Linked DNA regions of Macaca mulatta. The protein of the gene in region 5 binds, or shares a complex with, the protein of the main gene of each other region. Links are inferred from orthologs where the notes say so. Each region holds a gene or a part of one and is shown on either strand. Other genes may lie near its edges.

Evidence for each region.
Region 1: DRC7 (region 5) and IQCG share a complex: the UniProt entries of both Homo sapiens proteins name them as parts of the nexin-dynein regulatory complex. The link is inferred for Macaca mulatta from reciprocal best matches to the Homo sapiens genes DRC7 and DRC9.
Region 2: DRC7 (region 5) and DRC12 share a complex: the UniProt entries of both Homo sapiens proteins name them as parts of the nexin-dynein regulatory complex. The link is inferred for Macaca mulatta from reciprocal best matches to the Homo sapiens genes DRC7 and DRC12.
Region 3: DRC7 (region 5) and DRC1 share a complex: the UniProt entries of both Homo sapiens proteins name them as parts of the nexin-dynein regulatory complex. The link is inferred for Macaca mulatta from reciprocal best matches to the Homo sapiens genes DRC7 and DRC1.
Region 4: DRC7 (region 5) and IQCD share a complex: the UniProt entries of both Homo sapiens proteins name them as parts of the nexin-dynein regulatory complex. The link is inferred for Macaca mulatta from reciprocal best matches to the Homo sapiens genes DRC7 and DRC10.
Region 6: DRC7 (region 5) and GAS8 share a complex: the UniProt entries of both Homo sapiens proteins name them as parts of the nexin-dynein regulatory complex. The link is inferred for Macaca mulatta from reciprocal best matches to the Homo sapiens genes DRC7 and DRC4.
Region 7: DRC7 (region 5) and FBXL13 share a complex: the UniProt entries of both Homo sapiens proteins name them as parts of the nexin-dynein regulatory complex. The link is inferred for Macaca mulatta from reciprocal best matches to the Homo sapiens genes DRC7 and FBXL13.

The regions. Positions count from the first base shown.
Region 1 is NC_133407.1:975,515-979,805, forward strand, and holds the start of IQCG (dynein regulatory complex protein 9), read left to right. Parts: upstream 1-1,360; 5' UTR 1,361-1,616; intron 1,617-1,741; 5' UTR 1,742-1,908; intron 1,909-4,291. Other genes in the region: LMLN (leishmanolysin-like peptidase), read right to left, coding at 1,022-1,240. UniProt on the Homo sapiens protein: Component of the nexin-dynein regulatory complex (N-DRC), a key regulator of ciliary/flagellar motility which maintains the alignment and integrity of the distal axoneme and regulates microtubule sliding in motile axonemes.
Region 2 is NC_133419.1:119,883,155-119,887,618, forward strand, and holds the start of DRC12 (dynein regulatory complex protein 12), read right to left. Parts: upstream 2,906-4,464; 5' UTR 2,861-2,905; coding exon 2,648-2,860; intron 2,350-2,647; coding exon 2,277-2,349; intron 1,851-2,276; coding exon 1,776-1,850; intron 708-1,775; coding exon 588-707; intron 1-587. UniProt on the Homo sapiens protein: Component of the nexin-dynein regulatory complex (N-DRC), a key regulator of ciliary/flagellar motility which maintains the alignment and integrity of the distal axoneme and regulates microtubule sliding in motile axonemes.
Region 3 is NC_133418.1:98,605,884-98,610,427, forward strand, and holds the start of DRC1 (dynein regulatory complex protein 1), read right to left. Parts: upstream 2,978-4,544; 5' UTR 2,908-2,977; coding exon 2,753-2,907; intron 1-2,752. UniProt on the Homo sapiens protein: Component of the nexin-dynein regulatory complex (N-DRC) a key regulator of ciliary/flagellar motility which maintains the alignment and integrity of the distal axoneme and regulates microtubule sliding in motile axonemes.
Region 4 is NC_133416.1:120,462,482-120,466,858, reverse strand, and holds the start of IQCD (dynein regulatory complex protein 10), read left to right. Parts: upstream 1-1,537; 5' UTR 1,538-1,649; intron 1,650-4,377. UniProt on the Homo sapiens protein: Component of the nexin-dynein regulatory complex (N-DRC), a key regulator of ciliary/flagellar motility which maintains the alignment and integrity of the distal axoneme and regulates microtubule sliding in motile axonemes.
Region 5 is NC_133425.1:53,308,493-53,312,346, reverse strand, and holds part of DRC7 (dynein regulatory complex subunit 7), read right to left. Parts: intron 3,432-3,854; 5' UTR 3,395-3,431; coding exon 3,192-3,394; intron 2,495-3,191; coding exon 2,320-2,494; intron 1,200-2,319; coding exon 1,074-1,199; intron 1-1,073. UniProt on the Homo sapiens protein: Component of the nexin-dynein regulatory complex (N-DRC) a key regulator of ciliary/flagellar motility which maintains the alignment and integrity of the distal axoneme and regulates microtubule sliding in motile axonemes.
Region 6 is NC_133425.1:85,492,549-85,496,402, forward strand, and holds part of GAS8 (dynein regulatory complex subunit 4), read left to right. Parts: intron 1-653; exon of another isoform or gene 654-776; coding exon 777-974; intron 975-2,648; coding exon 2,649-2,855; intron 2,856-3,854. UniProt on the Homo sapiens protein: Component of the nexin-dynein regulatory complex (N-DRC), a key regulator of ciliary/flagellar motility which maintains the alignment and integrity of the distal axoneme and regulates microtubule sliding in motile axonemes.
Region 7 is NC_133408.1:142,505,032-142,509,464, forward strand, and holds the end of FBXL13 (F-box and leucine-rich repeat protein 13), read right to left. Parts: intron 2,944-4,433; coding exon 2,754-2,943; 3' UTR 600-2,753; downstream 1-599. UniProt on the Homo sapiens protein: Substrate-recognition component of the SCF (SKP1-CUL1-F-box protein)-type E3 ubiquitin ligase complex.

The DNA.
Region 1 (4,291 bases), on a different chromosome or scaffold from region 5:
TTTTGGCTCACTTGGTTATGAAGAGTATGCATGTAACATTTTGGGAAATTACCATAAAAATGAGTGTCTTTAGATTTCTGGACTGAACTGAACGTGTATGTATCAGCATGCAGCCCTGCCCCCAGGTACTCTCCCTCCTTTTCTCAAGGAATATGGATTATCGTGGACCCACCTCTGACCTAAATACTGTGAAGGAATCAAAGTATGAAACACAAACCTCATCCCACGGAACCTTACAATTTAACTGCAAAGGCAAGATACGCCTAAAAAAAATAAGCCATTACCACATAGCAGTACTTGGTTAAATGCTAGGAGGGAGTACAGATACGATGTACTTTTTAATGAAAAGAACATTCCGCTGTGGGAGTTTCGGCAGGCTGCCTTGAGGTTGGGGAACTTGAAATGAGACAAAGTATTTAAGCAGGGAGAAAAATGGGACGGGAGGCCGGCAGGCACTTCCAGAGCAGAGGAATCGGGTAAAGCAAACAGAGTGACGACACAACGTGAAAAGAAACCTGAAGTTTGTCTCCAGTGAGCCCCCAACATCCCCCCAACGCCTCTGTCTGGCTCTCCGTTCAGTATCTTCCCGAAACTTCAGGTCAGCGGTTCCTAAAGTGGTCCCCGGACAAGCATACATCACCAACCAGCTGGGAACGTAAACTGTCAATCTGGGGACTCATCCCAGACCCACTGAGTCACTAAGTGGGGGACTGGGGGCGGCAATCTGTGTTGGACCGTGTGCGTCGGGTGACTGTGATGCACGCTCAAGTTTGAAAAGCACTCCTCCAGGGCTACTGCTAAGCACAACCCTCCGCACCGAAGTGATACTGTTCTGAGCGCCTAACAGCCAACTTGCAGGGTGTAGGGAGCTGAGAGCGGGTCCCAGGCCTGTAAGAGTTCAGGCTCTGCCCCGATTTCGCTTTCTCATCCAGGACACCTTCTCCCAGTCACTACCTCCTACGCCTGCTCCTTCTGGACGACTTTACCCTGACAGGGCCCGCTCCCGCCCCTGTCGCCCTACCTCAGTGTCAGAGGGGACGTGGTGCCGGCAGGGAGGGGAACTGCCCAAGGAGACGGGAGTAGATGTGGCGCTGGCCCGGAGCCCGCCCAACAGGAGTAAAACGCTTCGGACCCACATAGACCCGCTCCAGCGCCACCGGCTCCGGCCCGGGCCTGAGCCTGAGTAACCCGCTCCTCCTCCCCACTCGGCCGCCATCTTCGGGCCGAGCGTCGTTACCATGGAGCGCGTGACGCCTCTGCGCCCGCGCCGGCCCCGCCCCTCGCCGCTCGGGGCAGACGGAGGCCCCCGCCGGCGGAAAGGTGCTTTCCGATTGGACAGCGTCACCCGCTGGAAGTTCGCGGCAGAAGATGAGGGCGGCGATCACGTCCATCGCGTCTCGTTGCGCGAGGCCGGCCAATAAATGCCGTTTGGAGGCCCACGTGAGTGGGGCTGTGGGAGGAAGAAGGGCGCGCGGGCGTTGGCCGTGTGTGGGTGTCTGAGGCAGTTTTCCAGTTCTTTCGTTTACCAAAGTGATATGCACCTACTAGGTGCCAGGTGTTTGGACGGACATTCAACCCTCTGCAGAATCTTTCAGTGTAGTCCTCTGTAGGAAAAGGTGAGTGGAATACTTTCATTTACTTATCCTGAGTCACCAACTTTAGGCGCTTTACTTGACTAAAGCCATTTCCTGTAAAAATCAATGATACACACTTTACTATTTTACTCAACTCCATCTTTTAGTTTCCAACCAAGAATTGCCACTGCACCTGAGATAAGGGAGATCCTGGGAGCCGTGAGGAACTACACAAAATGGGAAATTGGGACAAATTCCAGTGGCTCATGACACTAAGAAGTAAAAGTACGAACTCAGACACTGAGCTGGAAGTCATGCAACGGGAATTGAATAGGTAAACTACTATACTGGGAAATGAAGGGGTAGGAAAGAAGGAAAACTTCAAGTTACAGACTGGGTGGAGATTACGGACTCAGATATGAGGATGGGGTGGTGTCTTAAGTATTACCATTTTACAAGTGAATAGTCACTAAATAATGTGTGTATCATCCCACAACTAGTGGAAGGTGGGATTCCAAACCACATTTGTAACTTAGGAAACGTGCCCTTTCCATTACAGTACCACAAATAAACTGCTGTTGTGAATAAAGAGTGGAACCAGTCATCCTAAGCTCCTGGCTGTTACAATAGTGTTACGCTGAGGAAAGGCTGTTTCTTTTTTTTTATTTTTGAGACTGACTTTCACTTGTCGCCCAGGCTGGAGTGCAGTGGCGCAATCTCGGCTCACTGCAACCTCTGCTTCCCGGGTTCAAGCGATTCTCCTGCCTCCGCCTCCCGAGTAGCCGGGATTACAGGCGCCCGCCACCACTCCCGACTTTTTGTGTTTTTAGTAGAGACGTAGTTTCACCACGTTGGCCAGGCTGGTCTCAACTTCATGACCTCAGGTGATCCGCCCGCCTCCGCCTCCCAAAGTGTTTGGGATTACAGCCATGAGCCAAAGCTGTTTCAATGGCATAGTGAACAAAATACCAGCCACGCAAGCCCTTTCCTGTAAACCACGGGACTTTGGCAACGGTGACTTAAGTACTTTTGACTTAATTTCGGTATGGGAGCAGAAAAAATTATAAATTTATTATTTACAAATGCTGCATCATCTCGGTAAGGAAGAGCATGTATTTGCTCGAGTCTCATTTGCCATTGCACATATAAGTTACTCGAGTTACCCTAAAGTCTCAACCTTTTGTTTTCCCCGCTTTGCTCAGATGCCTACCACTTACTGTGTAAGCACCTCCATTCCTTTCATCTATTCTACTCAGAATACCATTCACTTCTCCATATGCCTAAACCAGACCTGAAATACCCATCAGTCTTCATGGATATGTCGATTAACATCTTACCGCCTCCTCAAATTCAACTTTTGCTCCTCCCACAAAACCATCCCCTGGTTCCCCAGCTTTGCAAATGCACCATTACCCATCCAGCCCCCATAGCCAGAAACATGTTAGAACGTTAGCCATTTGAGACTGAAAAGCCCACCTGATTTTCCCTTGTTTATACTGGGCTGCCACTGGGATGTAAAATGTTAATCTGAGCTGGACATGGTGGCTCACACCTGTAATCCCAGTACTTTAGGAGAACAAGGCAGGGGGATCACTTGAGGCCAGGAATTAAGAGACCAGCCTGGGACCCCGAAAAAAAAATTTAATTAACTGGATGTGGGTGGCATGCACATGTAGTCCCAGATTCTCTGGAGGTTGTGGGCAGAGGATTGCCTGAGCCCAGAAGTTCAAGGGTGCAGTGAACTATGATCACACCACTGCAGGCTGGGCAACAGAAACCCTGTCTCAAATGAGTAAATTTTAAAATTTCCTGTGAATCAAGTTCTTCAGTGACATTGTTACTACACACAAGAACAATCTTAAGATCCTCAGTACAAGAGACGTCTTATGTGGCATTTCTGAGTTTTCTGGACTTTCCAGTCAGCTACTTGTATTCCTAAAATCTTCCTGCCATTTCCTGAGATGCCTCCGTATTTCTTCTACACTTTATAGTTTTATGTTATGTCAGGATACCCACATGCCTCTATCCCTAAATACCCCAAGAGTACTGATCACATCTATTTAACTGGCACAATGAACACAATAGGTACTTTTAGCTTATATTGGCCTTTTGGAGTGGGTGTCCAAGATCAGCACTTCCTCCCGCTGACTGCGTAATTCCCAAGTTCAATTTCATCAGCATTCTAATATACAACTTCCAACTTTTGACCATGAAAAAGTATGGCTTACTTCTGGTGAATACAGCATCAATGCACTTTGTTTGCCTTAAAACCACAATCCTAATAAATGAGCCTGGCAGAGCATTAATAATAAAAGCCCCTGTCCATGAAACATGGGACTCCAACAATGGCAACTTTGGCCTACATTCCACCATTGGACTGACCGAACCTTTCTTACGACTGCCGATGTGACAGAGGGACCTCTGGGAGAGGACTTCTTGTTTTCTCTTGCGTCAGTATATCTCATTACTCTCTTAGTAGGTTAGCAGATTTGTAACAGGATGGTTACTAGAGGAAGGGGAAGCGGAAAAGCTGGGACAGTATTCCTACTCTTTTCCCTTACTACATTTTCCTTCTCAGTCCTGCCTCCAGGAGATGAAAGACCAAATAACACAACAGCCAATGTGCTCTTCCCACGCAGTCCTTTCTTTCACCCTCTTTCCCTAATACATTTCCAGCATGTTAATTCTTTTGCGGCATAGACAAGAGAACCCATACA
Region 2 (4,464 bases), on a different chromosome or scaffold from region 5:
CCGAGTAGCTGGGACTACAGGCACCTGCCACCACACCCGGCTAATTTTTTGCATTTTTAGTAGAGACGGAGTTTCACCATGTTAGCCAGGATGGTCTCGATCTCCTGACCTCGTGATCCGCCCGCCTCGGCCTCCCAAAGTGCTGGGATTACAGGTGTGAGCCACCACTCCCGGCCCATGGTCTTCTTGGTTCTTTTTGTGATTCTGAGAAGCTAGAGACCATGAAAACCTGAGGAAGGGAAAGGAAGCCCAACCCACCTCCCCCACCGTCCAGCTTTGGATGGGGATGCTAGTCCTTCTCCCCTCCCATAGGATGGTTGAGGTGATGGCTATGACTGCATGCGTATCCTACACAGCATCAAGCACATGGCACCAGGCATCCTGGCAGGCCCCTGCCTGGGATCCCAGGAACCTACCTGCCTTTGATTCCTGCAGGATCCTGCCTGATTTGTACTGTTCGGGGAAGACCAAGACCAGGCCTGGCAGTTGGAAGCCCTCCTTGTTTCCCTTCCTTGCATCATCTGACCCTGCTGGTTGTCTTCCTCCAGGCCCCTGTCTCCTGCCCACCTGCTCAACAGACCACACACCTGCATATATGGCCTTCCCTTCACTTCGGGCCCCTTCCAGCTCAGCCTCCACCCTTTGCAGCCTCTGCTTCAGCTGGTCTTCGGAAGCCTTGGCTCGACGGGCTTCATCCCTCCGTAGAGCTGTGAGCAGTCCCAGAGCCACTGTCAGGACTGGCTGGGGCCCGCTAAATCAGCCCCCATGAACTTGATGAATTTTGCCCGTCTCTAGAAATCTGGTGGCGGGGCGTCCAGCCTCTTATTCTCTCTCTGGGTTTTGTTGTTTTTGTTTTTTATCCCTAGAGTCTCACAGGCTCCTCATTATTAAGAAGTAAAGACTCTCTCCATGTTCTGCCTATACAAAATAGCTTTCCGGATAGCCCGGCATGGTGGCTCATGCCTGTAATCCCAATATTTTGGGAGGCTTAGGTGGGAGAATTGCTTGAGGCCAGGAGTTTGAGACCTGCCTGGGCAACAGAGTGAGACCTTGTCTCTATAAGAAAAATAAATAGGGCCAGGCGCAGTGGCTCATGCCTGTAATCCCAGCACTTTGGGAGGCCAAGGTGGGAGGATCATGAGGTCAAGAGTTCGAGACCAGCTTGGCCAACATGGTGAAAACCTGTCTCTAATAAGAATACAAAAATTAGCCGGGCGTGGTGGCTGTGTGCCTGTAATCCCAGCTACTTGGGAGGCCGAGGCAGGGGAATCACTTGAGCCTGGGAGGCAGAGGTTGCAGTGAGCCAAGATCACGCCACTGCACTCCAGCCTGGGCAACAGAGCACAGGACTCTGTCTTAAAAAAAAAAGATAGTAAAATAAAATAAAATGAAATAATAAAATAAAATAAATTTTAAAAAAGAAAAATAAATAAATAAATAAAGTAGCTAGGTAGGGTGGTGTGCACCAGCTACTCGTGAAGCTGAGGTGGGAAGATTGTTGGGGTCCAGGAGTTTGAGATTACAGTGAGCTATGATCACACCACTGCAGTCCAGCCTGGGCAATAGAGCAAGATTCTGTCTAAAAAAAAAAAAAAAGCTTCCTTTATCAACTCTCACTGCCCACCCCTCTCTCATTGTCTTTTTCCACTAGGGGATGGTTAGGGTTCAACTTAGCCCCCCACTGTATCTCCAACTCTCCAATCCCCCAGGATACAGAAATGCCCCATTTCACTTGCCCTGTTGCCCACCCCCATGCCAACTTCTACCCTCCTTACCCAAGTGATCTCGGAGCAGCTCCTTCTCCAGCACCACCAGCCTGTGCCTGGACTCAGCCTCCACATCTGCACCTGCTGTGGCAAGTGGCAGAGCCTCAGCTCTTCGTGATCTCAGCATTCCTCACTCTCCTTGCGTCCTCACCCCACACCCTGCACTTTTGCCACAGGAGACCTGAGGACCACTAAATGAGGGATCCATGGTGGCAGAGTCTACTGAAGTCAGCACTGTGTCCTTACCAACCAGCACATAACAGATATGCAAAATACACATGACAAATATATTAGGAAGGCACAAAGCTAGATGGTGCTTAAAGGAGAGCGTGAGTGACCATTTCCCCACTTCCTCAGCTCCCTGCATCTGACTTCAAGGACACGAAAGAGGAAGGTCAAGAGAGTTCCATCCTGTCATGTAGAAGGCTGAATTCTCTCTGGAGGAGCTCTGCGTGGTCTTCATGCCAGAACATGGAGAAGCAGGGGGCACCTCCACCCACCATGACTCACCCCAGTTCTTTTTCTTCTGCGCCCCAGATTTCTTCCCTTTTTCTTTGTTTTTAAGTGGCATCTCCTTGCTGTCCTGGGAGAAGGAGGGGACCTTATGTTTAGGTCTGGACACAGGGATGCTTTCCTGACTGAATCAGGAGTCTCAGGGGAGTCTCCTGGTTCTACTCCAAATTTGTATCTCATACTCTTCAGAAAAGTCAGTTCACAGTCTCTTTGGAACCTCAGGCAGGGTTGGGGTCAACGGGGAGGGTGAAGTTTTTTCTCTCAACCAGGCTGACTGTACGGAAGTCACTCCTCACAACTCTCTTTTAGATAAATCCCTGTACCTGCTCCCCTCCCTCTTCCCATCATCCTCAACCCCCTCTTCCTACCTGTAGGATCCTCTCCTGCCAGTGTTGGGGCTCCCTGTGGAGTGACCCACCCGTGGGGAGTGGCAGAGAGAAGGCCCAACTAGCGAGGAGCCTGAGGCGGGGCCTGGGTCCTGGGAGCCAATCCTTGGTGACAAATTTCTCTTGAGGGCAGGACTGAGGGCTGGAAGGTTGGGTTTCGGGAGGCTGTATGTTGTCCAGGCAACTGGGAAACATGGAGTTCGTAGGAAGGTGGAATGGGCTAAATCAGCTCACAAAGCTTAAAATATCAAGGTCTCAAAGGGTCAGTTCTTTCCTTATCCCAAAACCCTAAGTATAGTTTGAAAAGAAAGGGCTTTGGAGGCCGATTGGTTATGATTCATTGCCACGTAGACATGGCCTGCAATTTGGAGACTTCCAAATTCAGATGTACACATCTGAGATAATATGTTGTGCTGATACAGAGGAAAAGGACTGACAGTAGCCATGTTGGACAATTGACATCCCGAGGTCCCATCAGCAAAATGACATTAGTAGGTTTAAAACTGAAGATCTAAGCTGGGGGCGGTGGCTCATGCCTATAATCCCAACATTTTCAGAAGCTGAGGCAGGAGGATTACTTGAGGCCAGGAGTTCAAGACCAGCCTGGACAACACAGTGAGACCTCATTTCTACAAAAAATTAAAAAATTAGCCTGGCAGGGTGGTGCACACCTGTTAGTCTCAGCTACTCGGGAGGCTGAAGCAGGAGAACCACTTGAGCCTGGGAGGTTGAGGCAGCAGTGAGCTATGATTGCACCACTGCACTCCAGCCTGGATGACAGAGGGAGACCCTGTCTCAAACAAACAAACAAACAAACAAACAAAAACCCCAAACCACTGAAGATCCTCTTCAGTACACTGTGGAATGAGGGTAATAAGTACAGGAATAGGTAGTCGAGGGCGTTTCCCACTTCAGAGAAATGAGACACAAAGGAACAGCAGACCCATGGACTCTAGGGTACTGACCTAGAGGGATGCAAGTGTGCAGGAAAGTGCTCAGGTTAGAGACAAGACATTTGAGTTTGAGTCCCAACTGTGGATATGTAAACTGAGGCAAGCCATTTGACTTTGCTCAGCATCAGTTTCCTGATCTTTAAATGTTTGATTTTGTAGCTCTTGAAAAGCCTGTGTTTTAGCTAGGTGTTTACATGGCTATCTTCTCTCCTAGTTACTTAATCTATTGCTACATTTCCCCATTCCCTTGTGTGGTTGATTTTCAGACAGGTGTTGAGACATTGCTTTGTGAGGCTCCCTGCAGCATAGAGTTGGTTGGGGCTCCCTCTAGTGGACTTGTTTGACCTTCTCCTGAGTTTCCCACATTTTTGCTTTTAAATTATTTACTGGGCAATATTGGGGGTGACTCCCTTTGGGGATACTTCTTAGTGTCCTGCTGGAGCCAGGAGTGGCTGGAATAATTAATGTGGGGGAGAGAGTATGACGGGTGGCCCTCCCTTGTCAGGCAGCCTTCACTCTCCCTGCAGCTCTGTGCTATCCTGAGGCTTGCCATCTATCTGCCACTTGGATCTCTGGGCACCATACTGGTTAGAGTGAAAACAGCAGACACTTCAGGGCTTTTCTCCTTTTGGATTAGGGGACCTGCAGACCGTTTCTTTAGGTTTTTTGTTTGTTTGTTTTGTTTTTGTTTTTGTTTTGAGACAGAGTCTCGCTCTGTTGCCCAGGCTGGAGTGCAGTGGCACGATCTCGGCTCACTGCAAGCTCCACCTCCCGGGTTCATGCTGCGACTGCAGGCATCCACCACCACGCCCCGCTAATTTTTTTGTATTTTTAGTAGAGATGGGG
Region 3 (4,544 bases), on a different chromosome or scaffold from region 5:
TTAGAACAGGATCTGAGTTAGCATTGACACGCAGAGACCCGAAGCATGCTCTCACCCACTTAGAGTGAGGACATACGGGAGGCAAAGTCCTACTTACAGAGGGTCTACCAGGTCTCTGGACTCAGCCAGTCATCATGTCTCTAATGGCCAAAAGTAGAATTGGGACTGACATACTTAGAAGTTTGAAAAACTCCACTCCTTGGCCTACAAATAGACCTGTCATAGTGGGGAAGGCCAAAAGTACATCTCTGAAACTGCACCTGAGTACACAGAAAACAACATTGCCGCCCAGGGCGGTTGGTGGGCATTAGTGTCACCCTGAAGTATCTCAACGATGCAGGAGTGGTGATCCCTATTGAATCTCCTTTTAATTCATGGATCTGGCACCTGCAGAAACTGGATCCTAGAAAACGACTGTCAATTACCGGAAGCTGCACAGGTAGCACTCCTGAACACAGCATCTACGCAAGTGTGGTAAGCTTCGCTAGAGCAAATTTGTACAGCCTCAGGCACAGTATGTGTGGCTACTGATTGGGTCAAATGCATGCTTTTCTACATCAGGAAAAAGAATCAGGAAGTTCACATTTACATGGAACAGACAATGATATACACTCACAAGTCTGTCACACTCACAGGACCATGGTAATTCTCCTGATCTCTGTCATAATATATTCTGAATACATCAGGGACATCTGGATATCCCAGAGAACATCACAATGATCCATTACTTCAGCACTGGCAAACTATGGCCTGTGGGCCAGATCCAGTCCACCACGTGCTTTTTTATGGCTTCCAGGCAAATAATGATTCTGACAATTTTTTTTTTTTTTTGAGATAGAGTCTCGCTCTGTTGCCCAGGCTGGAGTACAATGGCACGATCTCAGCTCACTGCAACCTCTGCCTCTTGGGTTCAAGCGATTCTCCTGCCTCAGTCTCCTGAGTAGCTGGGATTACAGGTGTACGCCACCATCCCTGGCTAATTTTTGTATTTTTAATAGCGACAGGGTTTCGCCATGTTGGTCAGGCTGGTCTCAAACTCCTGACCTCATGATCCCGCCCGCCTCAGCCTCCCGAAGTGTTGGGATTACAGGTATGAGCCACTGCGCCCGGCCCATTTTTTTTTTTTTTTTTTTTTTTTTTTTTTGAGACGGAGTTTTGCACTTGTCACCCAGGCTGGAGTGCAGTGGCACTATCTCAGTTCACTGCAACCTCCACCTCCCAGGTTCGAGCAATTCTCCTGCCTCAGGCTCCCAAGTAACTGAGATTACAGGTGCCTGCCACCACACCCAACTAATTTTTGTATTTTTAGTACAGACGGGGTTTCACCATGTTGGCCAGGCTGGCCTTGAACTCCTGACCTTAGGTGATCCTCCTGCCTTGGCCTCCCAAAGTGCTGGGATTACAGGCACAAGCTACAATTTTTTACAATTTTAAATGGTTAAAAAATATATAAATGAATGGTTAAAAAAGACTAGGATGAATAAGTAGAGCACAGGGGATTTTTAGGGCAGTGAAAATATTTGGTGTAATACCATATTGGTGGGCTCATGTCACTATAAATTTATTCAAACCCATAGGCTATACAACACCAAAAAGAAACCCTAAGGTAAACGATGGAGTTCAAGTGATAACGATGCGCCAAGGTTCATATATTGTTACAAATGTGCCTTCCAGTGCAGGATGTTGACAGTGGCTGTGCACGTGTGGTGGCAGGGAGTATATGGGAATGCTGTACTTTTGACCAATTTTGCTGTGATCCTAAAAACTGCTCTAAAAAATAAAGTTTATTATTATTTTTAATCAAAAGAAGGCTATTTTGTGATACATGAACAGTATATGAAATTCAAATTTCAGTGTCCATAAATAAAGCTTTATTGGAACACAGTCATGCCCATTTGTTTATGTCTTGCCTGTGGCTGCTTTTGCACTACAATGGCAGTTGAGCAGCTAGGAAAGACGCCATATGATCCCAAAAGCCTAAAATATTTACTATCTGGCCCTTTACTGAAAGGGTTTGCCAGCCCCTGCATTCCACTGATGGCCCTGCAGCAATCAGCCAGGATGAGCGAGTGATGGAAACACACTGCAGGGCTTGGTAAGACATGTGTGCTCCAGACGTTGGCAATCAACCCTATGAAGGCCCAGGGACTGCATGTCATTCAAGTTTGTAGGGGTCCAGTGGTCAGTGGCACACTGGGATAGCCTATCAAGTAAAAAACAAATCTACTGCGTTTTGCATCCTCTACAGAGAAGGAAACTCAATGCCTCTTAGACCACTTTGGGTCCTAGTACATCCCGCATTAGGAATACTATTCAGGCTGACACAAAAAGCTGCCAGCTTTGAGTGGTGCCTGGAACAGGAAAGGACCCAGGCCACAGTGTAAGCAGCCAGGCTACTTGGGCCACATGATCCAGCAGACCCTACGGTTTGGGGGTGTACGTAGTGGAAAAGATGCCATGTGCAGACCACAGTCGCGGGCCACCAGGCCCGATTAATATTTTGGTGTTTTATAGAGATGCGGTCTCTCTATGCTGCCCAGACTGATCATCTCGAACTCCTGGGCTCAAGTGATCCTCCCGCCTCGGCCTCCCTGAATGCTGGGATGACAGGCGCGCGTCGCGGCACCGGCCCAGCGTTTTACTTTCCCATACTCTGCATGAACCTTCCGGAAGAAATGTTTCTATTTCATCAGGAAACCAGCCCTGCTCCGGCCCCTGCTGCGCGATCCCGCCCCGCCCGCCCAGCGCTCACCGCCTCCGGGCTTCTAGGCGCGCCGCGATGCGGAGGCGCCGGGCCTGGATGCGCTCCTGAGGGTTGTCGGAGTGGACCGAGGGCGCGAGAATCTGGGTGGACAAGTGCTCGTCCAGGTTCGGGTCCAGGCCCGCTAGGGACCCCGGCGGATTCATGGCAGGAGTCCCCGGCACCTAGGCGGCTCCCTCCGCACCACCTCCAGACCGCAGGCTGGTTGCTAGCAACAAACCGTTGCCAGGGAGAGCGGTCACCGGTGCCACCGCCCGAGTGGTTGCGCGCGCAGCTCCCTGGGCCCAGCCCGCCGCCAGCCGCCATTCGGGCGGAGCATCCCAGCCTCGGGCTGACGCCTCTCCAGCCGGTGGCTTGTCAGGGCTGTTGTCAGCCCCACGAAGGCCCGGTCGTATTAGCGGAGCTGTGGAGTCTCACCAGGAGACTAGAGGACTAAAGAGCTGGACCAAGCTGTGGTTCATCACTTACTGACCTTGATGATTAATTCATCTTCCATTAATTCATCAAATATTCCTCCAACTCATAGTCACCAAATACAAATACAAATGTTTGTAAAAATACAAAACTTAGCTGGGTTTGGTGGTGGGCACCTGTAATCCCAGCTACTCGGGAGGCTGAGGCAGGAGAATCACTTGAATCTGGGAGGTGGATGTTGCAGTGAGCCGAGATCGAGCCACTGCACTCCATCCTGGGCAAGAGCAAGACTCTGTCTCAAACAAACCCAACCAACCAACCAACCAAATACTGGATACCATTTAACAGGGTTCTGTCCCATTAGCCCTTGGGGAATTAAGGGCACTGGATGAGCAGTGAGAAAGGGTGGGTACTAGTCCTAGCCCTGCCCTGCCACCTTGGGCAAGTCACAACTTCTTGAGGGCCATTTTCTCAGCTGTTAAATGGTGCAACCCACAGACAATTGTGGGGCCAAGAAGATCCACCCTTTGTGAGTAAGAACTGCCCAGAGGCAAATGGAGTGGGTTTTTAAAATCAGTTCTTCCAAGTTTGCAAGCAGTAGTAAGGTTTAGGAATGCCAAAACCATCCAACAGCTATAGAGTCTAACAGCAGCTGCCTGGATCCTTGCCTCACACCTGCCTAGGTGGTGGTGGTAGGAGGAGTGGGGGTAGTTGTTTCTAGGCTTCAGGGTCTTCTGCCAGATCTCTGTCTCCTTTGGTTGAAACCTAAAGCATTAAACTCTCCTAGGAGCCATGGTACAGCTCTGACCAAAAACTCACCCTGGTTCTGGTTCTTGTTTCCACTATCCATAAGGACAGAAACAAGTATGTGTGCATACGCATGTCTATGCCTGGGAGTAGGATACCATGAGAAAGTCAGTGGGAATCAGCTGTTGCACAAGAGATAAGTGAGAGCAAAGGTACCATACAAACCCATGAAAAGAGATCAGTGAGATACTTTGGCCCTACACTGTCCCGATACCACTTCCAACATCTTTTTAAATAAGAAATCTGACTCCATTTTTTGCTGCTGATATTTGGCCGCTGACAGCTTTTAAGCAGCACTCCCTCTTCTCCACATCTGGGCAAGCTGTTAAAAAAGCCTAGGTGTGGCCGGGCGCGGTGGTTCACGCCTGTAATCCCAGCACTTTGGGAGGCCGAGATGGGAGAATCACGAGGTCAGGAGATCGAGACCATCCTGGCTAACACGGTGAAACCCCCGTCTCTACTAAAAATACAAAAAATTAGCCAGGTGTGGTGGCGGGCACCTGTAGTCCCAGCTACAGGGGAGGCTGAGGCAGGAGAATGGCGTGAACCCGGGAGGCGGAGC
Region 4 (4,377 bases), on a different chromosome or scaffold from region 5:
CGGTTCATGCATAATTTTCATGATATCTGCCACCACAGATTAAAGTCCTCGCATTCAAACGCTTGGACACGGTTGTTTAACTGTTTAATACATGACTGCTTGCCTGCCTGTATTGTCTTTGCCCATTGGCTTTCAACTGGGGTGATTTTTGCCCCCACGGGGACATCAGGAATGTCTCGAGACATCTTTGTCACAACTTGGGAGTGAGGGGATTGCTGGTGGGTGGAGTCGGGGGATTATGTGGCTCAAAATGTCAATTGAGCTGCTGTTGAAAAATCCTATCTTAGCTAATATCCCCACTTTACGAATGAGGAAATTGAATCTTGGAGTGGTTAACTTGCCTCTTATAAGTTTCAACCCAGGTAGTTTGAATCAGGGAACCTTCCTGCTTAACCATGACCCTATATACACCTACGACTAGAACCAGTACCCTGATTTGAATTCAAACACGTCATTTGTCCAGCGAGACAAAAATGAGGTCCAGAGAGGGGAAGAGACTTGCCCAAGGTCACACAGTGCAGGAGCGGGGCTAGAACCCGGGACTCCTGAGTCCTGGTCCAGTGTTCCCTCCGCGGGCTTTGCTTCTGCCTCTACAGAGGACCCAAATGGCCAGCCCTGGGGAAAGGGCCTAGGGGAAGAGGGCCAGCTGCCATGCCGCTGTCCGCTCGGGCAGCCTGACCCGGGCACGAGACTCCTGCGGGGTCACCTGAGGGCGCCAGGGAGAAGAGCGAGGGAGGGAGCAAGAAGGAGGCAGGAGCGCTGGCTCCAGCTCCGCGTGCTCCCAGCCCCTGGCTGGGTGCCCACGTGAGGGTCGCCCCAAGAAGTCGGGGGCAAGGAGAGAGGGTGCAAAGCCCCGGCCCGGGCTGGACGGAGAGAAGCGCGGCGGAGACTTCCCCGCGCCCTCTCTGGGCCCATTCAGTCCACCTCCCACACCAGAGTGTCGCGCCGCAACCCCTTACTCCGCGCCCTCTGACCCTGATCCCTGCCCTCTCCCTCTGGCCAAGTCCTCGCATCCCTCGGATTCTTACACGCGCCGCCCCAGCAACCCGGACCGCGCGCCGGGGTCCGCACCACGCAGCCCAGCCCGCCGGCGCCGCCGCCAAAACCCCGAGCCCGAAGCTGTTGCAGCCGCCGCAGCCGCCGCCACTTCAGCCACCGCCACCAGGGTAGCTGCGCCAGCTCTCCCATCCGCCGCCTACCGTCCTCTCAACCCCGCTCGCCCCGCCCCATTTCCCCTTCACAGCGTCCTACTGGCTAACTGGGCTACCATGATGAGCTCTGATTGGTCAATTCTCACGTCTTTCCGCAGGTCTCGCCCGCAGCCGAGGCAGTACTCCCTGCCCGCCTCCTTAAGAAGGGGCGGGACGAAGAATCCACGCCCCTTTCTCCTCCCATCTTCCCCGCCTTAATCGTTGAGTCCAACCCAGAGGGAGTCCCAAGTCTTTCCATTGGTGCAAGGTCAAAATGGCGGTGCTTCTGATTGGTCAGACTTCAGGAGGTGGGGACAATTGAGCGGAACAAGAAATTGAATGGTGAAAAGAAAGGTCAGTCAGACACAGAGTCCCGCCTTCTGAGATTGGCGGGTAACCTCGCAACGCTGGGACTGCGGCGGTAACTGTGGCTAGGGAAACCTGGAGCCGTCAGAGCGGGTGAGTAACCAGGTGGGAAAGGGTCGCGGATCGGGGGAGATGTGGAATGGGGTTCAGCCCGATGTCCTTTGGCTCCCTGAGAAATTGGTAGCCCCCGCTGCGATCCCGTCTCAGCTTCAGGACCCCGTCCCTCAGCCCCTGCCTCAGTCTGGACCTCTGGCTCCACAGCCTGCAGGGAGCCGGCCTCCATTCTTCCCCTTCTACCTGCCCACTTCATGGCCCCACTCCCTCATCCCTAAAACGACGAGGACACCAGTCAAGCAGAGTCACATCGTAGTTAACTTATTTCAAGTCAAACATGGGAGCTGTGGGTGGGAGGGGGGTTTATAAGTCCCCTCCCATTCCACCCAACGACCATACGTTCCTCGGTGAGCGGGCCATCTCACTTAAGTGTTTAAATTAGGTAGTTTTTGTTTGTTTTTGTTGTTGTTGTTTTTGCCTAGCGCGGTGACTCACGCCTGTAATCCCAGTACTTTGGGAGGCCAAGGCGGGCAGATCACTAAAGATCAGGAGTTCTAGACCAGCCTGGCCAATATAGTGAAACCTCATCTCTACTGAAAATACAAAAATTAGCTGGGCATGGTGGTGCACCTGTAATCCCAGCTACTCGGGAGGCTAAGGCACGAGAATCACTTGAACCCGGGAGACCGAGGTTGCAGTAAGCCAAGATCGCGCCATTGCACTCCATCCTCGGCAACAGAGCAGGACTCTGTCCCAAATAAATAAATAAATTAGGTAATTTTTATTATACCACTTTGGCCTTTGTCCTAACTTTGGAATTTATTTCCCATCTCCGTCCTTAAAATGTAATCTCTTTGTACCTACTAAAGATAGAGAGTTTCTTGTGATGATTAAATGAGGCTGAGGGCTGGGCACAGTGGCTCAATCTGCAATCCCAACAATTTGGGAGGCCGAGCGGCGGATCACCTGAGGCCAGGAGTTTGAGACCAGCCTGGCCAACATGGTGAAACCCTGTCTCTACTAAAAATACAAAAATTAGCTGGGCATGGTGGTGCATGCCTGTGATCCCATCTACTCGGGAGGCTGAGGCAGGAGAATTTCTTGAACCCGGGTGGTGGAGGTTGCAGTGAGCCGAGATGGTGCCACTGCACTCCCGCGGGGGTGATAGAGCGAGGCTCCATCTCAATAAATAAATAAATAAATAAATAAGGCTGAGGTGGAAGAATCGCTTGAACTCAAGAGGCGGAGGTTGCAGTGAGCCATGATTGCACTGCTGCACTCCAGCCTGGGCCACAGAGTGAAAAACCCTGTCTCAAAAAAATATATAAAAAAGAAAAACTTTGAGGTTCAAAAGATATTTTCGTAAGAAAATGAAAAGATCAGCCACAGACACAGACATGGAGGAAATATTTGCAAATCTCATGTGTCTTATAATAGACTTGTATGTAGAAAATAAAAATAACTCTTATAACTCAAGAGGACAACTCCATTTTTTTAATGGGCAAAAGAGTTGAGTAGACATTTAAAAATCAAAAAGACAATCCCAAATATCATCATGTAGATAAATAAACAAACTAGCTTTCATATATTGCTGGTAGGTACAGCAGAATACCAATTGGTACCACCAATCTGAAATATAGTTGGCAGTTTCTTAAAAAGTTAAACATAGGCCAGGCACAGTGGCTCATGCCTGTAATCCCAGCACTGTGGGAGGCACAGGCAGGTGGATCACCTGAGGTCAGGAGTTCGAGACCAGCCTGGCCAACATAGCAAAACCCCGTCTCTACTAAAAATACAAAAATTAGCAGGGCATGCTGGCGGGCCCCTGTATTCCCAGCTACTTGGGAGGCTGAGGCAGGAGAATCACTTGAACCTAGGAGGCGGAGGTTGCAGTGAGCCGAGATCATGCCACTGCATTCCAGCCTGGGCAATAGAGTGAGACTCTGTCTCAAAAAAAAAAAAAAAAAGCAAATGAGTATTTCATTATTTTGATCTGAGCTTTACGATTTTTCTTTTCTTTTTTTTTTGAGATGGAGTTTTGTGTTGTTGCCCAGGTTGGAGTGCAGTGGCACGAGAATTGCTTGAATCTGGAAGGTGGAGGTTGCAGTGAGCTGAGATCACGCCACTGTACTCCAGCCTGGGCAACAGAGCGAGACTCAGTCTCAAAAACAAAACAACTACAACAAAAAAATGTGAGTGGAAACAGAGATCGTTTGCAGATTAGCTCATGGGAATTTGGTGGAGTGATAGAAATGTTCTAAAACAGGATTGTATCTAAAACTGATGTGGCAACTTTAGATACATTTACAAAAATAGTAATTGAGTTTTATACTTACAATGGGTGAATTTTATGGTAATGTAAATTACACCTCAATAGAGCTGTAAAAAAAAAAATTACACGCGTGGTTAGTACCATGCAGGAAAGGTGAGAGAATTTCCACAGGTTGTAAAGTGCTGTGTGTTCCTGTCTGAGAAGGGGTAGCCATTGAGCTAAGACCTAAAGAATGAGAAATTGTTAATCCAGGGAGAAATTGTTCATGGGGGAGTTGGTTTCTGACATAAAGTAACATTATACGTTAGTGCCTGAGAGCAGGAGGGGTTTGAGATAGGCTGTTTTTTGTTTGTTTTGTTTTTGAGACAGAGCCCCTCTCTGTTGCCCAGGCTGGAATGCAGTGGTGCAATCTCAGCTCACTGCAACCTACGCCTCTCGGGTCCAAGCAATTCTCCTGCCTCAGCCTACCAGGTAGCTGGGATTACAGGTGCCCGC
Region 5 (3,854 bases):
AATGTACACAGTGATCAGTTTCCAAGGAAAAGTGCCTTGAATCTGCTTAGGTCAGCAAACTACCAAAAATAAAAACCCAGAATATACTAGGCCCCTGCTTGAATAGCCAATGCCTGTTTGTCAGCCTCCTCCTTACCGCCTTAGCTGCCCTCACTCAAACCAAAAAAGTTTAGCCTAAGATAAAAGTTTACTAGTTTGCTAAATAGCTGGCTTTGTCTCGCTCTGTCGGAGTCTCACTCTGTCCGAGTCTCGCTCTGTCGCCCAGGCTGGAATGCAGTGGCCGGATCTCAGCTCACTGCAAGCTCCGCCTCCTGGGTTTACGCCATTCTCCTGCCTCAGCCTCCCAAGTAGCTGTTCTTATCAGCTTGCCCAGTTACCTAGGTCGTAAGTCAAATACTTAAAGAGCCCCTGAGCTAACTAGGATTGCAATGCATTGCGGGTTGCAACAAAATGCCGCAAAACCACCCTAGAAAAAACACCTAAAGCCCCTGCCTAACAATCAATAGGCGATGTCTGGGAAGATTGTGGCCCCATAGTACTTAGCCTGTGAAGAACCAGGGGAGGGACCTGCGCACTAGGGGATAAATTGCCTGTTAAAACTGTGCTGGGTGTGTCTGCCTATCAGACACCCAATCTTGCGAGACCATCATTCAAAGTCTCACTTTCACTGTTCTCCAGGTCTCTATGTCCATTTTTTTTTTTTTTTTTTTTTTTTTTTTTTTTTTTGAGATGGGAGTTTTGCTCTTGTCACTCAGGCTGGAGTGCAATGGCGCCAGCCATCTCGGCTCACTGCAACCTCCGCTTCCCAGGTTCAAGTGATTATCCTGCCTCAGCCTCCCCAGTAGCTAGGATTACAGGCACACGCCACCACATCCCGCTAATTGTTGTATTTGTAATAGAGACGAGGTTTCACCATGTTGGTCAGGCTGGTCTCGAACTCCTGACCTTGTGATCCACCCACCTTGCCACGCCCGGCCTCTAACTCCATTCTTTGGGTTTGGATGGGTGAGTTTGTTTCTCACACCATCTTAGTCCTAGTGGGCTCAGGCATGCAGCCTGTGAGTGGCGCTTACCGGCTTGAGGGGGTCAGGCAGGGGCACCATGGTGAGGAAGTCAGAGACAAACTGGGCACAGCTGTCCCAGTTGTAGAGCTCGGGGTAGGGCATCAGTGTGGGCCGGAGGGTTGTGCTCACGAACTTCTGCAAGGAAAGAGATGGTGCCAGTGGGGTCATGGCAGTAAAAACCTCTGAGATCCAGTGTTGGGGCCTTCTCCGAATCCACAGGGGGACCCTAGAGGCCCGAGCAAATGCAGGAGGCCAGGCCCACATGCCCTGGGGTGGCAGAGCAGCCCTTGGCTGGGAAGGTGACGCCCAGATCTGGTGCATGGCAGCCATCAGTGGCGCAGTGGCAATGACTGGGAGGCCCCCATCACGTTGCCAGCACCTGGAGACAGCACAAGCATATTCTGGATCTGGACTTTGAAGAGCTTTGAAGTTTTGCCGCCTTCAACCCCTAGGGCATCATGGAGACACCTGAGGCCCAGAGCGGGCTTGAGAGCTGCCTGAGGTGACCCAGCAAGTCAGGGCTGAATGAGAAGATCAGGTCTGTTTCCTGGGGTTCCTGGGAGCGCTGTGCTCTCCTCCCAAGAGCGATGCTCTCCCTGGGGCCTACAGAGGTTCTGGGCTGGGGCCAGCTGGTGGCCAGTACAGTCTGAAGCCTCAGAGGTCAGCCTGTCCAGCGAAGGACAGAGAAATAAGACAAACTGGACCAGAACAGGCATAAGAACCTAAGCTCTGGCTTCTTCCTTCCAGCCCTGTGACCCAGAGCATGTGTCTGAGCCTTTCTGGGCCTCAGTTTCTCCATCTGTAGATGGAATGACATGGGATTCATCCAGAGGGTGGGAAACAGCTGCCCATTGGCTGACAGGGACACACAGACCCGCTTTATTTGGCCCATGTGACGATGTTTAGCATTTATGTCAGCTGCCAGCATTTAAAAATCAGAGACTCCCACACAAATCCCCAGTTTCCTCTTAATCAGGTAGCCCCACACCTGTAGTTTCCCTGCAGCAATCAGCAGCTGCCTCTTTAGGCGAGGCATGGGGTCTCCAGGCCACCACCACCCTCCAGGGTACTCTGCACTGAGCCTGCTGAGGCCTGCTGGCATTGGAGTTTATGTTTCCCCCAGACTAGAAGCACTCCAGTCCACAGGAGGTCTGTGATTTGGCCCAGTGCCCTTGGAGAACCCACCCCACTTCCCTGTGCCCTCTGCTCTCCAGCCCCAGGCTCCCTGGCCCTGCCCTCAACATGCCAGCCTTACAGGCACTTCGCACTCGTTCAGGGGGTGCAGGAAGAGGGGCACGCGATCCGGGCACAGATGGCTGTACTGGCGGGAAAAGTTGTCTGCCACCTGCAGCAGGTGCTCCTCCTTGGGTGTGTTGGTTTTGTAGGAAACAGGCAGCTTGGAGATGTCAATAGTGTCCTTGGTAAAGGCCCTGTGCCACAAGAGGGACGGCATTAGGGAAGCCATGCCTGGTACTCAGGAGCCCTGGTTCCACTGAGTTGCCATTGGCTCTATCCCTTCCTCATTTAATCCTCACAGCTACTGAGAAAGCAGGTATCATTAACATCTGCTTATTTATTTATTATTTATTTATTTATTTATTTATATTTAAGAGACAGGTCTTGCTCTGTTGCTCAGGCTGGAGTGCGGTAGCACAGTCATAGCTCACTGCAGCCTTGAACTCCTGGGCTTAAGTGACCCTCCCACCTCAGCCTCCCAAGTAGCTGGGACTAGAGGCACCACCACACCTGGCTAATTTTTGTATTTTTTGTCGAGATAGATGGGGGTCTCGCTATGTTGCCCGGGCTCGTCTCGAACTCCTGGTCTCAAGCGATCCTCCCACCTCTTCCTTCTAAAGTGCTGGGACTACAGATGTGAGCCACAGCGCCCGGCCAGCACCTGCACTTTTAGACAGATAAAGGCACTGAGGCACCGAGAGGCTGAGTGACTTGCCCAAGGTCACACAGCTAGTCGGGGGAGCGTGGACACTCGGCCCAGGCCATTTGAAAGCAGAAAGCCTTCACTCTTAACTGGTCACCCTGCCAGACCAGTCGCCACCACTCTGCCTGGGTCTCCCTGTGCCCAGCCCCGGTCTGCCCTTGCCAGGGCCCCCACACTGCCACACTCACGGGAGCTCCGCTGAGATGGGGATCTGGATCTCCGACAGCTTCTTCTCCAGGTCTCTGAGCATCTCCTGTGTCAAGGTGGTTTCCTCCTTCCGCACCTCAACTGGCCTCATCATTTTCTCGGTCCTCGCCCATTCAGCCCGCTTGGCCGCCTCCTCCCGCTCTGCCTCCTCCTCCTCCTCCACCTTCTCCCTCAGGACCTCCATTCTGGAGCGTCTCTGGCTGTCTGGAGACAGAATGTCTCTGTGGGGAAGGGGAAGTATACGCCATGGCTGACTGTCAGACCAGGCAGGAGCCACCAACACCACTGGGGCATCCCTGGGAGGCCTGGGAGATGGTTTTGGGGAGGTGTAGAGCACATAGGAAGGCAGTGATTCCCTCTTTGACTTCCTTTCAAACATGGAGAAGGTCTCTGTTTGGTGCTACCCCATCTGTAACACCTTTCTAATCCTGGCAAATATTCCTTTACAACAAAGACAAAGCAGGCCTCCGGCTGGAAGCCATCATCAGGACAGGACAGGGCAGGACACATGTCAATTTGCTTTAAGTATATTTGACAGTTATCCTTTTTTAAATTTTTTATGTTTTTGAGACAAGGTCTCACTCTGTCACCCAGGCTTGGAGTGCAGTAGCGCAAACATGGCTCACTGCAGCTTCAAACCCCCA
Region 6 (3,854 bases), about 32 Mb from region 5:
GTGACGGGGTTTTGCCATGTTGCCTGGGCTGGTCAACTCTGGGTCTCAAAAGATCCTCCCACTTTGGCCTCCCAGAGTGGCGGGAGCCACCATGCCTGGCTGTTTGTGTATTTTTTGAGACAGAATCTCACTCTGTCACCCAGGCTTGAGTGTAGTGGCATGATCGTAATTAACTGCAGCCTCAGCCTCCTGAGCTTAAATGACTCTCCCCCCTCAGCTTTCCCAGTAGCTGAGACTATAGGTGCCATCATGCTTGGTGAATTCAAAAAAAATTTTGCAGAGATGAGGACTTGCTATGTTGCCCAAGCTGGTCTTAGACTCTTGGGCTCAAGGGATCCTTCCACCTCGGCCTCCCAGAGTGCTGGGGTTACAGGCGAGAGCCACTGTGCCTCGCTCATTTCCCTGTTTAAACTGGTCTTAGATTATTTCCTTTTCGATATTTTTGCTGTTGTAATAATGGTGTGGGTAATATCTTTGAGCAAGATGTTCTTATATTTCTTTTGAGAAATTTCTTAGGCATAAATTCTCAGGAATGGATGAAAGGATATAGTTATTTTATGATTATTGGTCAAATTGAAGAGAATTCTTCCATTTGCTGAATGTATTCTGTCTCTGGAGCTTCCTAGCCTTATATTTTAACTTTTTACGTTCAGCTGTTTATTTTTAGGTGAAATTGAGTCCTCCCTCTTTCTTCTTTGCCTTTCTTCGGCCACACGCCCCTTTGCCGTGCATGGGCCCCTGCTCAGTGCCTCACCTGACCCACTGCACCTGGCCAGGTGGAGGAGCATGTCAGCCGCATCCGGGAGGAGCTGGACCGCGAGCGGGAGGAGCGAAACTACTTCCAGCTGGAGCGGGACAAGATCCACACCTTCTGGGAGATCACACGGAGGCAGCTGGAGGAGAAGAAGGCTGAGCTGCGGAACAAAGACCGGGAGATGGAAGAAGCTGAGGAGAGGCACCAGGTGGAGATCAAGGTGAGTGGGGCCAGCCTGCCTGTGGCCACGTGGTCACCACACAGCTGCAGAGGAGCTGGACCCAGTGAGGGTGCAGGTGGGACATTTTCTGTTCTTGGCTTTAGGAGTCACAGCCCTAAAAGTGTTTTTTATAAAAGGCTGAGGGAGAAAACCTGCAGGTCCTGAGGGTTTAAAATGCAGTTTCCACAACCTGGAGGGAGTATGGGCTCTGGGGGCAGACTGGCCTGTTTGCAACTCAGCTCTGCCACTTAGCACCCCATGAGCTGGGGATGCACCTCACCTCCCAGCCTTGGTGTCCTACTCTGTGCCTCAAGTGTACAGGTTTGCATAGGTGAACAGGCATGTGTAGCTGTGTACAGGTGAGGAGGCATGCAAGTGAGCAGGTGGATGCAAGTGTTGAGGTGTGTGCAGGTGAGGAGGTGTGTGCAGGTGAGGCGTGGGGAGGTGAGCAAGAGGGGCAGATATGTGCAGATGAGGTGTGTGTAGGCGAGCAGGTGTCTACAGGTATGACAGGTGAGGAGGTGTGGTACAGGTGTGGTGCAGGTGACCAGGTCTGTACAGGAAGGTACAGGTGAGGTGTACAGGTGACCAGGTGTGTACAAGAATGTGCAGGTGAGGAGGTGTGGTACAGGTGTGGTACAGGTGTGGTGCAGGTGACCAGGTCTGTACAGGTACGGACAGGTGAGGAGGTGTGGTACAGGTGTGGTGCAGGGGACCAGGTATATACAGGAAGGGACAGGTGAGGAGGTATACAAGTGACCAGGTGTGTACGGGTACAGACAGGTGAAGAGGTGTGGTGCAGGTGTGGTGCAGGTGACCAGGTGTGTACAAGAATGTGCAGGTGAGGAGGTGTGGTACAGGTGTGGTGCAGGTGACCAGGTGTGTACAAGAATGTGCAGGTGAGGAGGTGTGGTACAGGTGTGGTGCAGGTGACCAGGTGTGTACAGGAATGTGCAGGTGAGGAGGTGTGGTACAGGTGTGGTGCAGGTGAGCAGGTCTGTACAGGTACGGACAGGTGAGGAGGTGTGGTACAGGTGTGGTGCAGGGGACCAGGTATATACAGGAAGGGACAGGTGAGGAGGTATACAAGTGACCAGGTGTGTACGGGTACAGACAGGTGAAGAGGTGTGGTGCAGGTGTGGTGCAGGTGACCAGGTGTGTACAAGAATGTGCAGGTGAGGAGGTGTGGTACAGGTGTGGTGCAGGTGACCAGGTGTGTACAGGAATGTGCAGGTGAGGAGGTGTGGTACAGGTGTGGTGCAGGTGACCAGGTCTGTACAGGTACGGACAGGTGAGGAGGTGTGGTACAGGTGACCAGGTGTGTACAGGAATGTGCAGGTGAGGAGGTGTGGTACAGGTGTGGTACAGGTGACCAGGTGTGTACAGGAATGTGCAGGTGAGGAGGTGTGGTAGAGGTGAACAGGTGTGTACAGGTATGGACAGGTGAGGAGGTGTGGTACCGGTGCAGTGCAGGTGAGTGGGAGTGTACAGGTATGTACAGGTGAGGAGGCGAGGTACAGGTGTGGTTCAGGTGACCAGGTATGTACAGGAATGTGCAGGTGAGGAGGTGTACAGATGTGGTACAGGTGACTGGTGTGTACAGGTATGGACAGGTGAGGAGGTGTGGTATAGGTGTGGTGCAGGTGAGCAGGTGGTACTCCCTTTGCCCTGCAGGTGTACAAGCAGAAAGTGAAGCACCTGCTGTATGAGCACCAGAACAACCTGACTGAGATGAAGGCTGAGGGCACCGTAGTCATGAAGCTGGCACAGAAGGAGCACCGCACACAGGAGGGTGTGCTGCGCAAGGACATGCGGGCACTGAAGGTGGAGCTCAAGGAGCAGGAGCTGGCCAACGAGGTGGTGGTGAAGAACCTACGGCTGGTAGGTGTGGCGGGGGCACGTGGAGGCTGACAGGTGGTTGGGACGGCGAGTCTAGTGCTGCATGAACTCCTGTTTATTCAACAGCAACTGGGAATTCATGTTTTTGTGTAAGACCTTCTGCATTTTTGCAATTTGTTGAAATTTTTTTTTAAAGCATGCATCCAAACAAACTCCATTTTGGGACCAAGTACACAATTCTGTTTCAGATCTCAGCAAAAAATTGACGTCCCTGAAGAAAAAAATCCAGCTTAAGATCTTTCATGTGCTGCTGACACCTGATACCCAGAGACTTTTCCTAGGGAATAGCGTCAGATGCATTTAGTAGAATGCAAACCAACCATTAAAATATCCAGTGTGTTGACTCCTGGGCAGCTGTGACAGTTTGTCACACAAGCTGGTCTGATTTTTACTTTTGAGGCGGGGGGTTTCCAGGGCAGCACTAAATTCATTTGTGCACCTGGTTGAGTGACTCACACCCGTAATCCCAGCACTTGGGAGGGTTAGGTGGGAGAATTGGTTGAGGCCAATAGTTTGAGACTAGCTTGGGTGAAATAGTTGAACAATAGTTGAACCCCATGTCTAAAAATTAAAAAACCATTAACTGGTGTGGCAGCTCATGCCGATAGTTTCAGCTACTTGGGAGGCTGAGGCGGAGGGTCTCTAGAGCTCAGAAAGTCAAGGCTGTAGTGAGCTAGGATTGCGCCTCTGCACTCCAGCCTAGGTGACAGTGAGACAAAACAAAAAGGAAAGAACTTACTGGCTGAGTGTCCATTAGCTGCTAGGTCCTGATCTGATCTCTGACAAAATGCCTGCCCGACTGGGTCTGCTGGTCTAGAAAGGAGAGACAACAGGTGAGCTGGAAGACAAAATAAATGTGTCAGATACAACAGAGTCTCTGGTGGGGAAGAGTGCTACAGAAGGAGCAAAGTGGGGAGAGGTGGGGTGCAGTTTTGTACAAGTAGGTGACCAGCTGGGAGAGGGGATGGGCCAGTGGGAAGG
Region 7 (4,433 bases), on a different chromosome or scaffold from region 5:
ATTATCTTTTTCTTTTTTTCTGAGGTCTCACTCTGTTGCCCAGGCTGGAGTGCAGTGGCATGATCATAGCTCACTGAAGCCTTAAACTCCTGGCCTCAGGCATTCTCCTGCCTCAGCCTCCTGAGTTGCTGGAATTACAGACAGGCACCACCATGCCTGCTCTAATTTTTTAATTTTTTATAGAGGTGGGTCTTACAAATTCATCAGGTCTCGAACTCCTGGCCTCAAGTTGTCCTTCTGCCTTGGCCTCCCAAAGTGCTGCGATTATAGGCATGAACCACTGTGCCCAGCCTCCTTTTCATTAATATGCCATTTCTTTAGAGTTCTGTTTTTAACTTCTTTATTTATGAAACAAAAGTCAGCTTTGTAGGGTATCTCAAAGTCTCCTTTTAGTTCACCCTTCATGAAATGAGAATGTATACAAGTCTGAAAGATACTTACACATTGGTATATTTGGTATGGTTGGGGTGTGTTATACTATTAAGTAGAGGAAACTGTGTGGCAGTGAGGCAATTTTTATAATCTTTTTTCACCTTCATGCAATTACATAAACATTTTCATGACTAAAAATAAATTAGCCAATCACAGCCAGAAAAGTCATAAGCATAATAGCAGTCAACTATATTTAAACTATTAATGGAATTGTACATATTTGGATCACATTGTTAAGCCCCAGACAAAAAGAAAAAGCTGAAATATTTTACTCTCTTGGACACAGACCTATGAATATGAAATGTTTAAGGGCTAAAGACCTAACTAATATCTTTGATATTTTGAGTACTTTGCACTGAGAACTTAAAAGATTTCTCTACCTGTATACCTTACTTCTTGGTTCCTTTCATAGCTCACTTTTTCTACTCCTTTTTTTCATTTATGTAGCTGTAAAATTTGTCTCCCTGGAATGAATGAATGTGTCTTCTGTTCTTGTTTAAGAGAGGATGTTACTCAAAGAGCTTTGGAGCAAGCTCTGAATGTAAAGCAACCTGCTAGGTTTCTGGAGAATACGTAACAGGGTGTGTTTCTTACCGGGGTCTTCCCAGGGCAGGTGTCATTCCTTTAGAAAGCAATTGCCTCTTTTATAAGTTCCTCCAGTTGTGTGCATGGGCACTTAGGAATCAGATTTTTGAAAACATCTTTAATGCAGCTGCCAGAAATTTCCAAATTTAGGTTAAAACCGTACTCTTATGTCATCTTATGTCTCTTGGCTATGGTTCTAAAACTTCCCATTGAAATGATTCTGTTGCCTGTGTGCCCACTCCTAAGAACCTTTCCACAGCTAAGTAATATTACCTTATTTCAAAAACTTTGCAAATCAACCTCAGTGGGGGAGAATTACTAAAAGCATTTAGCTAATACAGGGTAACCTATAATAATACTTTGTACAATCTTTTTAAAACTTTTCAAAGTAACGATGCTTTAAGTTTTTAATCCTTGTTTGAAACTTGTGGAATACAAAAAGAGAACTCCACGTGAGAGATAAGTAATTGAGGAAATAGGTTAAAAGGCTGATCTGATATTGCTGACATAGCTTGTTTGCAGCAGTCAGAACAGAGTTGTGCTTTCTCTTGGACTGTGTCAACATCAGTGTTACATAATATCAAATAATGGTAAAAACCCACAGATGTGCTGGCTTCAGCAGCACATATACTAAAACCCACAGATTAAAGCTGATTAAAAACTAATATGTAGATATGCAATTAATAACCCATACTTCCTAGCATAAAATTGAGGGAGCATCTTTTTTGGCATAGCATAGTTTAAGAATTCCTCCATTGTGCAAATTTGATTAAAGAAATATCTTTCTGAGACATTGCAGGGACATTCTTTCTATTCAGATAGTTCTAGTTTCTATTTAATTTGCCCCTGACTAAGTCAAATATTGAGATAAGTCCAGAGTTAATTGGTGGCATTTAGTTCTCTTTTGTTGTTAAATGTCTGGAAACCACAGGAAAGCCACATTTCCTTTGAAAATATTAATATATGTCTGTATTCTTTATAAAACTTTATAAAGCACCACAGATCCTTAAAGTTATGGCCCTGGCTCAAACTCTTAGTTTGACATATGGCCATCTCTGCTTTCTTTTTCCTTTCTAGAGAAAAATTTCTTAATTTCTTATAAAAAAAAAATCTCATCTCTCAGGGTTGTTTCATATAACTTTACATTTTATATCTCATCAAAAAACTATTGGTTTGATTAAATTTAGGCAGAAATTTTATGTAGTCAGTACTTGATTTGGCTTCTTTTTTTTGTTTGTTTTTTGTTTTGTTTTTGAGACAGAGTCTTGCTCTTTCGCCCAGGCTGGAGTGTAGTGGCGTGATCTAGGCTCACTGCAACTTCCGCCTCTCAGGTTCAAGCGAGTCCTCTGCCTCAGCCACCCGAGTAGCTGGGATTACAGGCGCTCACCACCACAGCCAGCTAATTTTTGTAGTTTTAGTGGAGATGGAGTTTTACCATGTTGGCCAGGCTGGTCTCGAACTCCTGACCTTATGATCCACCTGCCTCGGCCTCCCAAAGTGCTAGGATTACAGGCATGAGCCACTGCTCCCGGCCTGGCTTCTTTTTTAAATCATGATTATTTAGACAGAAGAACTACTGATGTATTTGGAAATATTTGTAGTTGGAATAAGAATCAGAAGATGGTTTGTTGCTTGTTTACATTGTTATTGAGATTCAGCTAGTGAACATACTTGCAACAAATGGAGAAAACTTGTCAAGTTCTTGATTTGTTGTTTTTCCTGCTTGAGGCTGAAGGTCACGCTGCTTGCTCTTCACTGCTGTATGTTGACTTTTCCACTGTTAATTCTGAGGCTCCTTTAGATGGTGTTACATTGTCAAGCTCTGTAAGAGGGTCTCCTTCCCTATCATAGCCAAACCAACGTGGAGGGTCATTAGAGTTGTATTCCTGCTGCTGAACTTTAGATGACATTCTCTGAGCTGCCTTCCTGTAATAACAGTGCTTAGCATTAGCTAGTTGCAGAAGTAATCCCTAGTGCAGAATTTTCAAACTCAACCAAATTTGGAGTTAGAGAATTCACTGTCACAATTTGAATTCACATCAGACCTCTCTTGCCTTGCTGAGAGTGAGGAGATGGGTAAATGTACAAATAAAGAGGGTCCCAAAGCCTCAGTAGCTCTGATTCAACCACTTCAGAAATTAACAGATACAGTGAATGGGTAAGGAAACTACACATGGCCATGGAAGAGGAACACTGAGGCCTCTATTTATTTACACTGCTTTGAGTAAGCCCCTTCCTTGGTATTTCTAGTTTCTCTGATGAGGGAGTAACCTAACCACCCTACCTGTGAAGGCTGACCATGCACCAGGCCAGGAGCTCTTAACCCAGAGTTCACAGATCCCTTTCACAGATCCCTTTTGACTACATGGATGAACTTCAGGGAGGTCCATGTACTCCCTGAAAGTTCATGCAGTTTTGTCTATAATACACATTTTTATGAGGTTTGTGACTCAAAGGTGTCCATGACCAAAGTGATTAAAAAATACTGTTATAGTCTTTCTTAGGAGGAAATAAGAAAGTAAAGAAGGCATCAGAAAAAAAGTATGTCTAACTTGAAAACAAAGCCATTGTGAGGACAGAAGGAAGAATTTCCTTTCCTAGAAAGTTGGTTTGAATCACGAGATTAGTACTAAAAAGGAGATGAGCAATTGACCACTTCTGTAGGATTAGAAATTAGTAACTGTGATGTTTACCCATGAAGGCACTACCTTCTCCACTCTTGCTGTATGTTACATTGAGTTATTAATTGCAAAAGTCTGGAAACTGAGTCATTGATATGGAGCTGGCATTACCATACACTTTGAGTTAAGTTTGTGCTGAATGGCGATATGAGTTCAGGTAAGGCAATGAAATAGGAAGAAAAAACCCCAACAACACAGAGATAGCAGTTTAAATTGCTGTTACAGTTAAGTTGAACTTTAGATGTATTAAAATAATTGTAACCAAACTCAACAGGGAGATAACCAAAGCATTGCTAATTCTGCCTCTAAGCACATTGCTTTTTAACTGATATATCTGCTCTCACACAAAACTTCTACATACTTAAAGAACAAATTGAGTAAAAGCAATGATCATATACTAATTTCTAGTTTGAAGCCACCAATCCCTATGGACTAAAACTTGGCAAACAAGTTTATTCTCTTCAGAGAAATATTTATTCTCAGTTTTGAAAATGATAAGTTTATTGTCAAAGATAATGTTTTGCATTCTGTTAATTTTTTTATCTTTTTTAAAGGTGCTATCCTGCATTTTAAACCTCTTATGTAATCTTTATATATCCTCATCGTAGAACATTACTATGCAAAAGTAATGGGTTTATATCTTTTGCTTCTCCCATATTATTCTCCTAATGATATTTCTCCCTTTTCAATTCTATAAAGGTGAACTTATCGTATCTTTCAACACACTGTCTGAAC